Saccharomyces cerevisiae S288C: one gene and its partners. Changing the gene in region 1 together with any one later gene gives a genetic interaction. Each region holds a gene or a part of one and is shown on either strand. Other genes may lie near its edges. The genes, in order: PPQ1, YAP3, REA1 and VAC7.

Region 1 (3,722 bases):
TGGTGGAAGATCTCAACTTGGCCAAAATATACCGAACTCTCAGTCTACTTTCCCCACCATTGCTAACATCGGTAGTAAAGATAATAATGTACCACAGCACAACTTTTCGACCTCCATATCGAGTTTAACCAATAATTTGAGGAGAGCTGCTCCTGAAAGCTTCCATGGTTCAAGAATGAATAATATTTTTCACAAGAAAGGTAATCAGAATCTACTTCTGAGATCCAACGATCTCAACAAAAATTCTGCAGCCCCGGCCTCTCCATTGTCCAACGAACATATTACATCTAGTACGAACTCCGGTAGCGATGCAAACAGACAATCCAACTCAGGTGCCAAATTTAATAGCTTCGCCCAGTTCCTTAAATCAGATGGGATTGATGCAGAATCAAGAACACAAAGAAAATTATGGTTGCAGAGGGAGAATTCTATTATGGACTTAAGTTCACAAAATGACGGTAGTGACTCTATCTTTATGGCAGGAAACATTGATGCGAAAAGGGAGTTTGAGAGAATATCCCATGAATACTCTAATGTAAAAAGATTTTACAACCCATTAGATGAAGCATTGTTGAGAGTACAACCTATAATAACGGGAAATGCAAATAATATCAGGAAAAAAAGCCATAACGATGCTCAGTCAATCGCACATTCTAGCAGTGATACAGATCATAAGGATGAGGACGATTTGCTCTTTACTAACTATGACAAAAAATTTGATGATCTTTATCCACATCTTGCAAGTGCAAAGATTCAGGCAGTGTTGTCCGGTATATGGAAAAGCGAAAGTTACTTATTTAACAAGGATGTTAATCCAATCAACAAGAATAGGACAACGAGTACAAACCACAGCGTTGGCCACACTGCTTCACAGAATGCACGTAACTTGCTGAGGGGCCCGATGGGTTCCAGCACGACTTTGCACCACCAACGCGTCATTAACTCTCTGCAGCCGACTACGAGGGCAGTGAATCGCAGGATGGAAAATGTGGGCTACATGCATACACAGCCACAACAAAGGTGAAAACAACCAACACGAAGCACACAGTTTAAAAGAGTAGCTAATGCTTTCGAGGTAAAACGCGAAGTTCGTAGAGAGCGAATATGTTTGGACACTTAAGGAACATACTATGTTTATGCACTATAAAAGGACATGTACTTCTATACGAGCTAACGAGGCGTATTTGTATAACCCGGTTAACGTAATAAATGATAAATTATCGAACAAAAAGAAAGAAAAACGTTGAATGCAACCACCGCAAATTTAGCGATTTCGCTGGATTCCGTATCTCTTAAAAAATGGCATTAGTAAATATACCTTAAACGTGTCTATTCTTTTAGCAATTTTTTGGTAAGTATTCCTCACGGACTATAAATACTATCGGTCAGAATCACTACATTCAAATTAATCTTGTTTTACCGAGTCTCTGACGTTTCATTTACAAGCTTGTCCTTACAAAAAACCTATTTTATTACTTTAGTCCATTTTCCTTTCAAGTTAGATATTGTTTTCCCTTCACTTATATTCTATTTATGAGAAGAAGCCCGTCCAGATCAAATAATAACTTTGCAGTACCGAATTGCTCAACTAATTCAAACTCTAGTCAGCAACAATTAACTACACCTTCAGATGATCTCAACAGTAACGAACCTAATGACCCAGATGATAGTAGGTCTCTACCTACTATCAAGAAATTCAATAATAAACATTCTATAAACAATTACAACACTTTAGCATCGGCCGGGAAAAACAACAACAATAAACGAGCTAGCAATGATAATTTGCTCATTCCTGGTGAGAATGCCCATAAACAGAAAATATACACTAAGGATGAAAACTTGAAGAGCTTGTACCTAGATATCGATGTTTCTGTCGCTAAAGCCCTATCCTCATCAGCAACTGCTCCGAAGCTGATCAATACCGCAAGAACTTCCTCTACTACCACTGCCACTACCTCAAATAATATCCTGACATCACCCTCTTATCGTGAATCAAATTATTCTTCTCCATCCTCATATTCTTTTTCCTCCTACTACTCATCCGCTACGTCTGCTTCCTCATCAACCTCATCATTTTTAAAATCTTCAGGGTTATCGTCCAGAGTTAAGTCTCCTTCATCTTCGGTTAAGGCAGGTTCTTTTGGTGCGCCTTCGTCCCCAACATCTGGGATACCTAATCCTAAAAGTAGCAAGAAGCCTATATTTTTGAGACGGTATTCTCATGATACCTCTTCAAATGAAGGTCTTGATATCGATGTTGCGATCGAAAAATTACTACAAGTGGGTGAGTCAAGAGAAATTACAAAAACGTCCAAAAAAAAGAACTTTCCATTCCATTCTTGGGAAATTCAACTCATTTGCTATCATGCAAGAGAAATTTTTTTGAATCAACCTACTCTTTTGAGATTACAAGCGCCTATCAAAGTTGTCGGTGATGTTCATGGACAATTTAATGATTTATTGAGAATTTTGAAGTTGTCTGGTGTGCCATCTGATACTAATTATCTGTTCTTGGGTGATTATGTGGACCGTGGTAAGAACTCATTGGAAACAATACTATTGTTATTATGTTACAAAATAAAGTACAAAGACAACTTTTTTATGTTAAGGGGTAATCACGAATCTGCTAATGTCACAAAGATGTACGGTTTCTATGATGAATGCAAAAGGCGATTGAGCTCGAAAGTATGGAAAATGTTCGTTGACGTATTTAATACTTTGCCATTAGCAGCAATTATTCAAGATAAGATCTTTTGCGTTCATGGAGGTATATCGCCCGATTTACATGACATGAAGCAAATCGAAAAAGTCGCAAGACCAACGGATATTCCTGAAAGCGGGCTGGTTACAGACTTACTGTGGAGTGACCCAGACCCTCAAGTAACTGATTGGTCAGAAAATGATCGTGGTGTTTCATACACATTTTCTAAGAGGAACGTTCTTGATTTTTGTGCTAAGTTTAAATTCGATTTAATACTTAGGGGACATATGGTCGTAGAAGATGGTTATGAATTCTTTGCCAGGAAAAAGTTTGTCACAATCTTTTCAGCACCAAATTATTGTGGAGAATTTCATAATTGGGGGGCAGTAATGAGCGTTACAACGGGTATGATGTGTAGCTTTGAACTGTTAAAGCCGCGTGCATTGAAAAATAAAAAGAAGTTATACAAAACCAAAGTGTAGCTGTTGCTAAGATTGGTTTTGCCTGGAAAGCACATTGGTTTTTAGGCCTCTTATCCTTCATTTGGAAACTTTTTGTCCTATGATTTGTTTTTTTCATTTTATTTTTCATTTTATTTTTCATTTTATTTTCATTTAGTTAACATTATTATGCAGTTATTTTTTTTTTTCCCACCTTCATGGCCTCGTTTATGTCTTTTATCAATATATTTTTTACGTTTATAAGTCATTTACTCGACTTTTTTTACCTTTGATATGCAATCATATTATTCTTCCCTCCATTATGGCTAAATAAATGATAATTATAATCTATAGTTTTCAAGCGTTCATATTTTGACAGATAAGATTATGCAACAACTTGGAAGGGCGGAAGGAAGCAAAAAGAAAACTCCGATACGGGGAGTCGAACCCCGGTCTCCACGGTGAAAGCGTGATGTGATAGCCGTTACACTATATCGGACAATAATTGGACAGAAAATTTTGTTAAAGTGTCAGCCTAATCGGCGTAATACGTATATATGTATATTATCTGCATATTATTA
Region 2 (3,496 bases), on another chromosome or scaffold:
AGTCACAGACTCTCCAATCCTGCCAGTCTTGATTATTACTTTTAATACTTTCTTCCCCGATACTTTTTGCCTTCAACTTTTTCGGAATACTCTTGAAAATTTGATAAGCGGATTCAACCTGATTTTGGTTTCCAAATTCTAAAGTAATGATATACTCAAATTGATCCATAGATGTGAGGGCCAACCAGAAAGTAATACATTCAATGCTACTATTCCGTTATTGCCTCTATGTGTTTTCCTTTGAACTTTTACTTAATCCGCGGGTGAAATTTCATTTTTATATTTTCCATTTTATAACAGGCCGTCCCCTAAAAACACCGCGTAAGAACATAGTTTATACACTTATATAAGTAAAAGGTGTAGTAGGTTGGAATGGTAAAGGGCGTATTGTGTGTCAATTATGCGATGAAAATGTATACTTCGAAGTCAATAAAAAAAGAACCTGGTTTGCCTCATGAAGATGTTGCCTGCCCTTTCTTATTTAGTGTTTGTAAGTTATTTTTGTCAAAGTCTATTCATTCATTCAAAGTAGCTTCCTCCACTAGAAAATCGATTAAACTTCTTGGATACGCAGGTCCATGGGTATGACAACATTCTTGTCCTTGCAATTTGCTCATAACGTATGTCACATCAAAGTCCCTCTCTTCTGAAAGTTTGTAAAGATACTCCCAGGTGGCGGGGACTGTTAGTACATGTCTTCCTGCTTCGTCAGTATACTGGGTATTTCGCTTCATAATTTCATTATCCTTTAGCGAATACTTGCCTTTGTGATTCAGTTTGCTTTCCAGGACCATAGAGGTAAAAAATTCATCTTTCGTTGGGAAAGAATATTTGTAGTTGGTATCATCTTCTATGTCCTTTGAAAAATTTTCATTACCACTCCGCAGTAGCAGTCTGTTCTCTGCGTTGATTTCAGTATTTGCCTTTCTTAGTTCCTCAATTTCTTTCAATAAACTTTGGCGGTTCCTTTCACTTTCTAACAATTTATCTTGTAATTCTTTCATTCTGGCTTCTTTTCTCTCTCTGAAGGCTTTTTGGGCGGCTCTGTTTTGAGCCTTTTTCTTTGCCTTAGAGTCATCTGGAACATTCTCATTATGAGCAACTGAGGGACTCCTCGAACTTGGAGATATACCATTATTTTTAGAAAAATAATTTGTATTACTATAACTATCATTATCATTATTATTGTTATCTGCCATAACATAGGTAGAGTAGTCGCCTGAAATAGGGGTTAGTTGAATTGCTTGAAGATCACTACCCTTAGGGAAAGATATGTTGTTCTGTAATAGCAAATCATTATTTGATCTGTCAAGGTTCAAAGCAGGACACTGGTCTTCCAAAATTGGGAAGGGTGCTGTTTGCTCGCTCAATAGGTCTGGTTGTTGTTTTATACATTTGCTATCTTCTTGGAATAGACTATTTCTGATACAACAATCCTCCTCTTGGCATTGAGGGTTAATAAATTTCATGAATCCGCTGGTATTATCATCCATATTAGAAGGCGTCATAACAATTGCTTCAGCCTTATTCTTCGTTAGTTTATACTGGAAGTAAAGCAAACACCTACTGCCCCTTTTATCGAAATGATAAACAAATAAGAAAGCTCAGAGGGCCTCCGGTAATATTCAAATCGATCTGTTTTATAATGCTTATTGAATAATAATGCCGTTGCTGTACTCTTAACATAAAGCTACGAAAATCCACTATACATTTTTCTAAAGAAAAAAAAAAAATTCAAAAAAAATTGATTTCGCCCAGGATCGAACTGGGGACGTTCTGCGTGTTAAGCAGATGCCATAACCGACTAGACCACGAAACCAAATTCTTATTGATTATGTTGTATTACGGGCTCGAGTAATACCGGAGTGTCTTGACAATCCTAATACAAACAGTCTTAGGGAAGTAACCAGTTGTCAAAACAGTTTATCAGATTAATTCACGGAATGTTACTTATCTTATATATATTATATAAAATATGAATCATACTGTTGGAACGAGAGTAATTGATAGTGACATGAGTTGCTATGGTAACAATCTAATGCTTACATCGTATATTAATGTACAACTCGTATACGTTTAAGTGTGATTGCGCCTATTGCAGAAGGAATGTTAAACGAGAAGCTCAGACAATACTGAAGCGGTGTTAAAGACCTATTAGTTGAACATGTTATGGTAGGTACATATATGAGGAATATGAGTCGTCACATCAATGTATAGTAACTACCGGAATCACTATTATATTGGTCATAATTAATATGACCAATCGGCGTGTGTTTTATATACCTCTCTTATTTAGTATAAGAAGATCAGTACTCACTTCTTCATTAATACTAATTTTTTACCTCTAATTATCAACATGGCGACCCCAGTGAGGGATGAAACAAGAAATGTTATTGACGACAACATTTCTGCGCGGATTCAATCGAAAGTCAAAACAAATGATACTGTCAGACAGACGCCATCATCATTAAGAAAAGTTTCTATTAAAGATGAACAGGTGAAACAATATCAAAGAAACTTAAATAGGTTTAAAACCATACTAAATGGTTTAAAGGCAGAAGAGGAAAAACTTTCTGAGACTGATGATATTCAGATGCTAGCTGAAAAATTATTAAAACTCGGAGAAACCATTGACAAGGTTGAGAATAGGATTGTGGATCTAGTTGAAAAGATACAATTATTGGAAACAAACGAGAACAATAATATATTACATGAACATATAGATGCTACAGGGACTTACTATTTATTCGATACGTTAACTTCAACCAACAAAAGATTCTACCCTAAGGATTGTGTTTTTGATTATAGGACTAATAATGTCGAGAACATTCCTATTCTCTTAAACAATTTTAAAAAATTCATCAAGAAATATCAATTTGATGATGTCTTTGAAAATGATATCATAGAAATCGATCCTCGTGAAAATGAAATCTTGTGCAAGATAATCAAAGAAGGACTCGGTGAAAGTTTAGATATCATGAACACAAATACAACTGACATTTTTAGGATAATCGATGGTTTAAAAAACAAATATAGAAGTTTACATGGTAGAGATGTCAGAATTAGAGCCTGGGAAAAGGTTTTGGTTGATACAACATGTAGAAATTCCGCATTGTTAATGAATAAACTTCAAAAGTTGGTACTAATGGAAAAATGGATTTTTTCTAAATGCTGCCAAGATTGTCCTAATCTAAAGGATTACCTACAAGAAGCTATCATGGGAACCTTACATGAATCCTTAAGAAATTCTGTGAAACAACGTTTGTACAACATTCCACATAACGTAGGAATTAATCACGAAGAATTTCTAATCAATACTGTTATTGAAACAGTAATTGATTTGAGCCCAATTGCAGACGATCAAATAGAAAATAGCTGCATGTATTGCAAATCTGTTTTCCATTGCTCAATTAACTGCAAAAAGAAACCAAATAGGGAACTTAGGCCTGACTCGACCAATTTCTCAAAAACCTATTATCTACAAGGTGCACAGAGA
Region 3 (4,743 bases), on another chromosome or scaffold:
GAATTTTTCTATTACTGGCTTCAGAATGGCCTCAGATTTTTGGTCCAGTAAAGTCAAAAAACTCATACAGAATCCATCATACAGGGAACGGCGTAGACCGTAGATATGAATAATATCAGTAACATAAAGCAATGTACGCGTCAGGGTACGGATACTAAAGTGTGGTTTTTGGTTTGAGCCATCAACTATAGTATTGTTATCGGAGAGTTTTTTGGCTTCAAGGTAAAGTTCAGCGATGTCATTTCCTACCCATTCATCGCTGACGCTGTACTTTCCAATATATTTATCAATTATGGAAAGCAAATCAGTAATATCACGTTCCGGAGAATGTACATATATTTCGGTAAATCTTGATCTGATACCCATAGGTAAGTCTCTTTTACCAACATCAGTAGCGGGGTTCATACAAGCAAATATTCTAAAATCGGGGTGAGCTTTTATAGGCTCAGCGTCACCCTTTTCTGAAAGAAGAATACTACGAGAATCAGGCTCGGTGAGAAGGTCAGAAATACTTTCTAAGGTATCTGCGGTTGCTAAATTCACTTCATCGAGCAATAGCCACTCCCCAGCCCTGATAGTCTTTACCAAAGAACCCTCGACAAAATTGAAGACAAACGAGTTTTCAATAGAGCTAGACTGGGCCTCAAACTTCTTCACTGAGTCATTGAAGTCAGCCCATTTGTCAAGTAACAATTTTTTTTCATGAGTATTGAGTCTTCTTTTCTTCTTCTTTGCATTTTCGTTTTCATTTTCAGTGTTTGTAATTTTTAATATGCTTTGAGCCATTTTGTACGCTTCGTTCCAAAGTTTAACAACGTTCTTCCATTGATTCTTGTTGAAGCACCTATGTAGCATCTTGTGAAACTTCTCGTTCTTCTTTAAGGAAAATGTAGCATTAAAAAGAGTTTCAAAATTTTCTTGTATAGGAACTGCAACTGTTTTAGAATTTACGGGTTTGTACCCACCAAGAAGATCACCAGTTTCTGTTTGTTGTGAAACATTGATTACCGTTAATTTTTTTGCTAACATCTTAGCAAGTTGTTGAACGACTGTAGTTTTCCCGGTACCCGTTTCACCGACTAGTAAAACAGGTTCAGTCATCTGTATACAAACAGAAATCTGTTCCATTAGTCTTAAAGAATGATTCGTAAATGCGAACAATGTGCTGTTCATTGATTTTTTTTGTATATTTAGCTTTTCCTTAAGTAATACGGCTCTTCCAATTTTAATGCTATCATCAAGGTTTTCCAAAGTGGGCACATGTTGGGTCAAAAATAACGAAATCCTTGAGGAAGCAATGTCTAATGACTCGCCGATTGCTTGTATAATAGGTTCCAAAGCTTTGAATTCTCCAATAGCGCCAGCGAAACAGTCGGCGGCTTCGGAGAAAATACTGTCGTAGACAGAAGACTGGATTAGTTGGTCAGGTTTGTTGATGCCATTGTTTTTGAATAGGATGTCTAACCTTTCGCACAGCTTAATTAAATCTCTTACAGATACAACTCTTGTGTGTGCCCCCTTGTTCAATGAAATGAACTTGGTGTTCATATAAATACTTTTGACGTTTTTGTATGAATCGATTAGTTTGGGGATAAGGTTGGTCAAAATGGGAAACTTTTGGGCTAAAATGTGTGTCAAATCCTCTTCGCTAGGTTCCTCTAATTCAATAACATTCCAGATTCTCATACCAATCATATTCAAGTTATAGATCTTATTGGAACTATCCTTCTGATGATCTTCGTTTATTCTAACAGTTGATATTAACTGGAAACCATTTGCAGCCTTTACAGTCTCTCCTCTGGATGGAATGGTTAGTTCGCGCTTTTCTAAAAGCGATAAAAGTATTGATAAAACATCTGTAGGAGCTTTATCTATGTCTTCTATAAGTACCCATCTCCCTTCTTTGACCGCGGTAGCGAGAACACCAGCTCTCCATTCAAACGTGCCTGGCTTGTCACCAGAGGTATAAGTACCAATCAGTAACTTGGCATCAGTTTGTTCACCTAAATGAATTTTCACAATGGAGTCATGGCAACCCATATATTTACTTAGCTCATTGATTAAAAAGGTTTTACCGGATCCCGCTTTTCCAATGAGCATTATTGGAGTTGAATTTTGAATCTTTCTCCCGAGTTGACGAAGAGAGGAAACCGTTTTATGAGTAGGGACAAAGGTTAATGGGTAGAATACTTTGTCGTGGATAGTGTGGACCTTAGGGACGATAACGCCACAGATTGACGCGACCTTAGTACTCAAATCCTGAGGCTCAATAATGAAGTAGCTAGATTTTTTTTCTATAGTGAAACATTCTGGAACACTGGGTAGTTTAGAGAAATTTGCACATCTCTTAGCTTCGTTCAGTTCGAGGAAGCTGTAATCAATTCCAGAATCGCCCTCAAAATGGCCCAACAATGAATCGCGTGATTTTATATAAGTGTCGAGCATATCGTTTAATGTTTTTTCTCCCATGTCTAAGTATAAAGATAAAACCTTTAATGCTAGAAATATAACAACCTGATTTTCTTGTTCTTTGGTGAGTAAATCCACAAGTTGGTATAAAATGTCGGGTTGAATGAAGCGTGCAAATACTTCTTTATTGTGATATAGTAACCTATAGTATGCTAATAGTATTTTAAACATGTCGGAATCCTTTTGTGTGGATGGATTTTGAAGAATAGTGATGAAATGATCATTCTCTTTATCTAAATAGTCTTCAATTAATGGCATTGCAACGGGAAATATTGTAATTATACTTGCCAACTTTTCAATTACAAGAACGTAATCTTTTTTTTTGGAGTCCTTTATCCAACGTGCCACTATCTCTAAAAAAATATGTTTGTAAAGGAAAACATGACCAGTGATGGAACGGCTATGTAGTATAGTTCCTGCTAAATTGTCTAAATTCTCAGAAGTTGATTCCTTGTTGCTAAAGTGGAAGGGCGCTTCAATAGCATCAGAGGGAAAAGCAGAATTGAAGAGAATTAACCTTTGGTTAACTACGTCTAAATCTAACAAAATTCTATCCTGGGACATTCTCAGCAGATTATAACGGTTTTAAAAATAATGTGACCGCGTAAAGTAGAGGTACCTTAAAATAATAAGAGTAGAATTCGATGTCAAATTAACTCAGAGGTACTTTGAATCTTTAAAATAATCACTTTGGAGAGGAATGTCTAAAGTAAAGCAGTAAGTGATATAATGTTTTCTTTTCATAAAGCTAAATAGACCTTAGCTCATCGCTTCTTTAAAATTTTTCACTCGAAAAAGAAAAAATACCTCGTAAAGGGCGACAATAAATGATGAGTAGAAAAAGAAATGGAATAACGGTTCAAGTGCATTTAAAATCAATGCCTTGAATATGTGTTTCAGTATACATTCAGTTTGACTATATATCAAGAGAAAGCTTTAGTATGGGAAGTTTGTTGAGACCGGTTGATCTGGTAAATCAACCGCTTGGATTCCAAGAAAGATATAAAATTTTGCAGAAATTATTCAAGCAGCTACAAAAGGCATATGCACACACAAAAGGAACTAATATTGACCTTGAAAGACTTGCCACTCGCTTAGAAGTCCATGTTGCTAAAAACAGCTTGTCTGGTCAGAGTTACAAGTTTAACATGAGCATTTTACTGCGGGATGTGCTTAAATATAAAGGAGATCTCTCGAAGATCAAAATTAATGGGCGCCCCCTTAAAGGAGCTAAGCCTCATTTATCCTCAATTGGTAATGCAAACTCTATCACTACAAAATCAAAAGCGATGGAAGCTTTAAAGGCTCTGATTTTGGATTCGAAGGTCTTAGAGAAAAATGGGTATATTGTTAAGGAAATGCAAAATAAAACTAATGATGACAATAGTACGCAACTGTATGCACCTTGTTTGCGTTGCAGCTCAAATTTCAAAAAAACAGACATCATGGAAAAGACTCTATGTAGGTATCACCCTTTGAAAAGAATATACAACAGAGATACCAAGAACCATCAGTATCCATGCTGTGGTGAAACTACTGATTCCGTTTCTTTTCTAAGGCTAGGATGCAAGACGTTTTTTCACCATGTGTTTAGAGGAGAATCATATGACGAGTTATGCAAAATTTCGAAGTTTTCTAGTACAGATGACATTGATGGTGTTGAGAATGTTCTTTCTCTTGACTGTGAAATGGCTTTTACATCATTGGGCTATGAGATGATACGTTTAACAATTGTGGATTTTTTCACCGGCAAGACACTATTTGATCATGTAATTCAGCCAATAGGGGATATTGTCGATCTGAATTCAGACTTCAGTGGTGTCCATGAGATTGACCGAACCAATTGCCCGACGTACAAGGAGGCACTTGATGTTTTTTTATCCGAAAACTTAATAAATAAAAATAGTATTCTTATAGGGCACGGACTAGAGAACGATCTGAACGTCATGAGGCTATTTCATAATAAGGTTATAGATACTGCAATACTTTATTCAAGAACAAAGTTTAAGGTTTCTTTGAAGAACTTAGCGTTTGAAGTTTTGAGTAGAAAAATCCAAAATGGCGAGCATGATAGTTCTCAAGATGCAATAGCAACGATGGACGTTGTTAAAGTCAAAATAGGTATTTCTCCAAGTCAAAACAAGTGGGAAAAATAATGTGATCATATTCAAAGTTGAGCAGACATATATAGTTATTACATTTCATACGGTTCACATGAGTTTTATTAAGTAATTACGTTAAGAAACAACATGATAAAAGTAATGATTTCGTATT
Region 4 (5,680 bases), on another chromosome or scaffold:
AAGAACTTAACAAGAAACCAATTATTAAAGGCTTACTTACTGATAGTAGATCAACGATCAGTATAATTAAGTCTACAAATGAAGAGAAATTTAGAAACAGATTTTTTGGCACAAAGGCAATGAGACTTAGAGATGAAGTATCAGGTAATAATTTATACGTATACTACATCGAGACCAAGAAGAACATTGCTGATGTGATGACAAAACCTCTTCCGATAAAAACATTTAAACTATTAACTAACAAATGGATTCATTAGATCTATTACATTATGGGTGGTATGTTGGAATAAAAATCAACTATCATCTACTAACTAGTATTTACGTTACTAGTATATTATCATATACGGTGTTAGAAGATGACGCAAATGATGAGAAATAGTCATCTAAATTAGTGGAAGCTGAAACGCAAGGATTGATAATGTAATAGGATCAATGAATATTAACATATAAAACGATGATAATAATATTTATAGAATTGTGTAGAATTACAGATTTCCTTTTATGGATTCCTAAATCCTCGAGGAGAACTTCTAGTATATTCTGTATACCTAATATTATAGCCTTTATCAACAATGGAATCCCAACAATTATCTCAACATTCACCCATTTCTCAAAACTATCACGGAATACTAATCGAAGACTAGTGACGCACGTTACGCTATAGCAACAACGTCACAAGGATAACGTTAGTAGTTTTTTGGAAGGACAATTGCAAACTATATGTAAACGAACGAAGACACACAGTCCAAAGCTGTAACAACAACCACATATATAAATGGTAGTCTTCTAGGAAACTTCACTGTAAGATTAGATACGTAGAGGTGAAAGACAAGTTGAAGTTTGGATCGGAAGTTCCATTAATATTTGGGTAAGTAAGTTCGCCGCGCGGCAGAAACGGTGAGTACTTACTCACTTTTGTTCTAACTACAACAAAAAACTGTAAAAGTGGTGTAAGGTTTACGTTCCGTTTTGGTTGCAAATCATCAGCCCTGGTTTAAGCTTTATGTCCAACATTGGTTAGCGAAGGCACCGTACTGGTCTCGATGTCGGTGAGCAGGGGCGGCGAAATTCATTCCAATCTTGGATAATATATATGTATATATCTATACACGCGGCGAGATCTTGTCCTCTAATTTCCCTTCGCTAAATCATTAAGAGGTCATTCATGAAGTTAATTCAGCACCAAAGTTGGACTGTTAGACACGAGATACACATTGCAGTCCAAATGTGCAGATTTTTCAGATAATTGTCGTCGCACAAGACTGCCCCTCCCGTCCTCAGACAGACACAAAATTAGATTTTACGTTTACATAAAGATGTACATAACTTGAAAAAACGTTAATCCCTCTTAAATTTAGACCTTGTAAGTCTTCCTGGCCACTCTTTGTGATATATTGTAGTGCAATATATTGATTCGTTCTTCTTATTTCTTTGTTCTTAGGCATTTCCGCTTTAGAAAATTCGTTGGGTGGTTTCTGCGACGGGTATCCCCTTCGATTTTGCATAATGATCTTCAATTCTACAACTAAAATCAAGTAGATACAGGAAAATATTCCATAAATTATAGTGTAAATCGCCCTGTATACACCTTATCGTTTCATCTCAGGCAAGTTAAAGCATTTGGGAAACGTGCTAGATGACAGAAGAAGATAGAAAGCTCACTGTAGAGACAGAAACAGTTGAGGCACCCGTGGCAAATAATCTTTTATTGTCGAATAACAGTAATGTAGTAGCACCTAATCCTTCTATTCCCTCTGCCTCCACATCTACCTCTCCGCTACACAGGGAAATAGTTGATGATTCTGTCGCTACTGCTAACACCACCAGCAACGTTGTACAGCATAATTTGCCCACCATAGATAACAATTTAATGGATTCCGATGCCACGTCACATAATCAAGATCATTGGCATTCAGACATAAACAGGGCAGGAACATCAATGTCAACGAGTGATATCCCAACAGATTTACATTTAGAACATATCGGCTCTGTTTCATCAACTAATAATAATAGTAACAATGCCCTAATCAACCACAACCCTCTGTCATCTCATCTTTCCAATCCGTCATCTTCATTACGAAACAAGAAGAGCTCTTTGTTGGTAGCTTCTAACCCTGCGTTTGCTTCAGATGTTGAACTCTCGAAGAAGAAACCTGCCGTCATCTCCAATAATATGCCTACAAGTAACATTGCCCTTTATCAAACAGCGAGATCGGCGAATATTCATGGTCCATCATCAACTTCCGCATCTAAAGCGTTCAGAAAGGCTTCGGCCTTCTCCAATAACACGGCACCCAGCACTAGTAATAACATCGGCTCGAATACACCTCCAGCTCCTCTTTTACCTCTACCTTCACTATCACAACAAAATAAGCCAAAAATAATAGAGAGGCCCACAATGCACGTCACTAATTCAAGAGAAATACTTTTAGGTGAAAACCTGTTAGATGATACAAAGGCGAAGAATGCTCCCGCGAATTCAACCACACACGATAATGGTCCAGTAGCAAATGATGGGCTGCGTATACCGAATCACTCGAACGCAGATGATAATGAAAATAACAACAAAATGAAGAAGAATAAAAACATTAATAGTGGGAAAAATGAACGTAATGATGACACCAGCAAAATATGCACTACATCTACTAAAACAGCGCCTTCAACCGCACCTTTGGGCAGTACAGACAATACTCAGGCTCTCACTGCTAGTGTCTCCAGCAGTAATGCTGACAATCACAATAATAACAAGAAGAAAACCAGCAGCAACAACAACGGCAATAACAGTAATAGTGCATCCAATAAAACCAATGCCGATATCAAGAATTCTAACGCCGACTTGAGCGCTTCTACCTCTAACAATAATGCAATAAATGACGACTCACATGAGAGTAATTCAGAAAAACCAACAAAGGCGGATTTTTTCGCTGCAAGGCTGGCTACAGCTGTAGGTGAAAATGAAATTAGTGATTCTGAGGAAACATTTGTTTATGAATCGGCAGCTAATTCGACTAAAAACCTAATATTTCCTGACTCCTCCAGCCAGCAGCAGCAGCAGCAACAGCAACCTCCAAAACAACAGCAACAGCAACAAAATCATGGAATAACCTCAAAGATAAGCGCCCCATTGCTAAACAATAACAAAAAATTATTAAGCCGACTGAAAAATTCAAGACATATTAGCACTGGTGCCATATTGAATAACACAATCGCGACTATAAGCACAAATCCGAACTTGAATTCTAATGTGATGCAGAACAATAACAATCTGATGTCGGGACACAATCACCTGGACGAGTTGAGCAGTATAAAACAGGAGCCACCGCATCAATTGCAGCAGCAGCAACCACCAATGGATGTACAATCGGTAGATTCGTATACCTCTGACAACCCAGACAGCAATGTTATTGCCAAGTCGCCTGATAAGAGGTCAAGCTTAGTATCCCTATCTAAAGTTTCTCCACATTTACTTTCATCCACATCAAGCAACGGTAACACAATATCGTGTCCCAATGTTGCCACAAATTCGCAGGAATTGGAACCAAACAATGATATTTCAACGAAGAAATCTCTTTCCAATTCTACTTTGAGACATTCCTCTGCTAATAGAAATTCTAATTATGGTGACAACAAAAGGCCTCTTAGAACAACAGTGTCAAAGATATTTGATTCAAACCCTAATGGAGCTCCTTTACGGAGATACTCTGGGGTACCGGATCACGTTAATCTAGAAGATTACATCGAACAGCCGCATAATTATCCAACAATGCAAAATAGTGTGAAAAAGGATGAATTTTATAACAGCAGGAACAATAAGTTTCCCCATGGTTTAAACTTTTATGGTGATAACAATGTTATTGAAGAGGAAAATAATGGTGACTCGTCTAATGTAAATCGACCGCAACACACTAACCTTCAGCATGAGTTTATTCCAGAAGATAACGAAAGTGATGAAAACGATATTCACTCCATGTTTTATTATAATCATAAGAACGATTTAGAAACAAAACCGCTAATATCCGATTATGGTGAAGATGAAGACGTAGATGATTATGATCGCCCAAATGCTACTTTCAACAGTTACTATGGCTCAGCATCCAACACGCACGAACTTCCATTACATGGAAGGATGCCTTCAAGATCAAATAATGATTACTACGATTTTATGGTTGGCAACAATACTGGCAATAACAACCAATTGAATGAATATACCCCCTTAAGAATGAAACGTGGTCAAAGACACCTATCAAGAACAAACAATAGCATAATGAATGGTAGCATCCATATGAATGGTAACGATGACGTTACCCATTCCAATATCAATAATAACGATATTGTTGGTTACTCACCGCACAACTTTTACTCAAGGAAGTCCCCATTTGTGAAAGTAAAGAATTTTCTTTATCTTGCATTTGTTATATCATCACTATTGATGACAGGATTCATTCTGGGATTTTTATTGGCCACTAATAAAGAACTACAAGATGTAGACGTGGTAGTGATGGATAATGTGATTTCAAGTTCGGACGAGTTGATCTTCGACATCACAGTAAGTGCTTTTAATCCAGGATTCTTCAGTATAAGCGTTTCCCAAGTCGATTTGGACATTTTTGCAAAAAGTTCTTACCTGAAGTGCGATTCTAATGGTGACTGTACAGTAATGGAACAGGAACGGAAAATTTTACAAATAACGACAAATCTTTCGTTAGTTGAAGAGAGTGCTAATAATGATATTAGTGGTGGGAACATAGAGACGGTATTACTAGGAACCGCTAAAAAACTAGAGACACCATTAAAGTTCCAGGGCGGCGCATTTAATAGGAACTACGATGTGTCAGTCTCGAGTGTCAAGCTTTTAAGTCCTGGGTCTCGTGAAGCCAAGCACGAAAACGACGATGATGACGATGATGATGGCGACGATGGTGACGATGAAAACAATACTAATGAAAGACAATACAAAAGCAAACCAAATGCTAGAGATGACAAAGAAGATGATACTAAAAAATGGAAGCTACTAATCAAGCATGATTACGAATTGATAGTCCGTGGAAGCATGAAGTATGAGGTGCCCTTTTTCAATACGCAAAAATCTACGGCTATTCAAAAGGATTCCATGGTCCATCCTGGTAAGAAGTGAGTGTTAAGAATGTAGCTTTTTCGTCAAAGCTGGGTATTTTTCTTTTTATAGCGCAGGAGCGGAAGGCAATTTCCAAAACAGGAATGTACTTTCCAAAAAAGGAAAATGTAGTTTGTTTTTTGATGTTTTTTTCTCTTTGACTATTTCAAATTTAGAAGTGAAAAAATACAAAAATGTTACATAGGATTCGATACAGTGTAATATATCATTATTATTACTTTTAAATAAAGCGTTTAGTAAACAAGAGTGAGGGTTATGCAACTCGTTTAGTAAACATTCTTTTTTTTTTCTTCATTTAAGTATAAGACAACAATAGTAGCGGAAGCGATAGTAATACATTTGGTAGCGATAAGTGCACATGCAATTTCACTCAGATAAGCAGCATTTGGACAGTAAAACCGACATCGATTTCAAGCCAAACTCACCGCGTTCCTTACAAAATAGGAATACCAAAAATTTATCTTTAGATATAGCAGCACTCCATCCATTAATGGAATTCTCATCGCCAAGCCAAGATGTGCCAGGTTCAGTAAAATTCCCATCGCC

What was found.
Region 2: mutations in PPQ1 (region 1) and YAP3 together harm fitness more than expected from each alone (negative genetic interaction), as found in Saccharomyces cerevisiae (one large-scale study listed by BioGRID).
Region 3: mutations in PPQ1 (region 1) and REA1 together harm fitness more than expected from each alone (negative genetic interaction), as found in Saccharomyces cerevisiae (one large-scale study listed by BioGRID).
Region 4: mutations in PPQ1 (region 1) and VAC7 together harm fitness more than expected from each alone (negative genetic interaction), as found in Saccharomyces cerevisiae (one large-scale study listed by BioGRID).

What each region holds. Positions count from the first base shown.
Region 1 is NC_001148.4:206,624-210,345, forward strand, and holds PPQ1 (protein-serine/threonine phosphatase), read left to right. Parts: upstream 1-1,533; coding exon 1,534-3,183; downstream 3,184-3,722. Other genes in the region: TCO89 (Tco89p), read left to right, coding at 1-1,024. UniProt on the Saccharomyces cerevisiae protein: Phosphatase involved in the regulation of protein synthesis. Affects translational accuracy.
Region 2 is NC_001140.6:83,553-87,048, forward strand, and holds YAP3 (Yap3p), read right to left. Parts: upstream 1,509-3,496; coding exon 516-1,508; downstream 1-515. Other genes in the region: ETP1 (Etp1p), read right to left, coding at 1-169; YHL009W-A (gag protein), read left to right, coding at 2,357-3,496. UniProt on the Saccharomyces cerevisiae protein: Transcription activator involved in the regulation of genes expressed in response to environmental changes.
Region 3 is NC_001144.5:360,706-365,448, forward strand, and holds the start of REA1 (AAA family ATPase midasin), read right to left. Parts: upstream 3,034-4,743; coding exon 1-3,033. Other genes in the region: REX3 (RNA exonuclease), read left to right, coding at 3,411-4,625. UniProt on the Saccharomyces cerevisiae protein: Nuclear chaperone required for maturation and nuclear export of pre-60S ribosome subunits.
Region 4 is NC_001146.8:524,450-530,129, forward strand, and holds VAC7 (Vac7p), read left to right. Parts: upstream 1-1,636; coding exon 1,637-5,134; downstream 5,135-5,680. Other genes in the region: tyrosine/serine/threonine protein phosphatase MSG5, read left to right, coding at 5,493-5,680. UniProt on the Saccharomyces cerevisiae protein: The PI(3,5)P2 regulatory complex regulates both the synthesis and turnover of phosphatidylinositol 3,5-bisphosphate (PtdIns(3,5)P2). Positively regulates FAB1 kinase activity.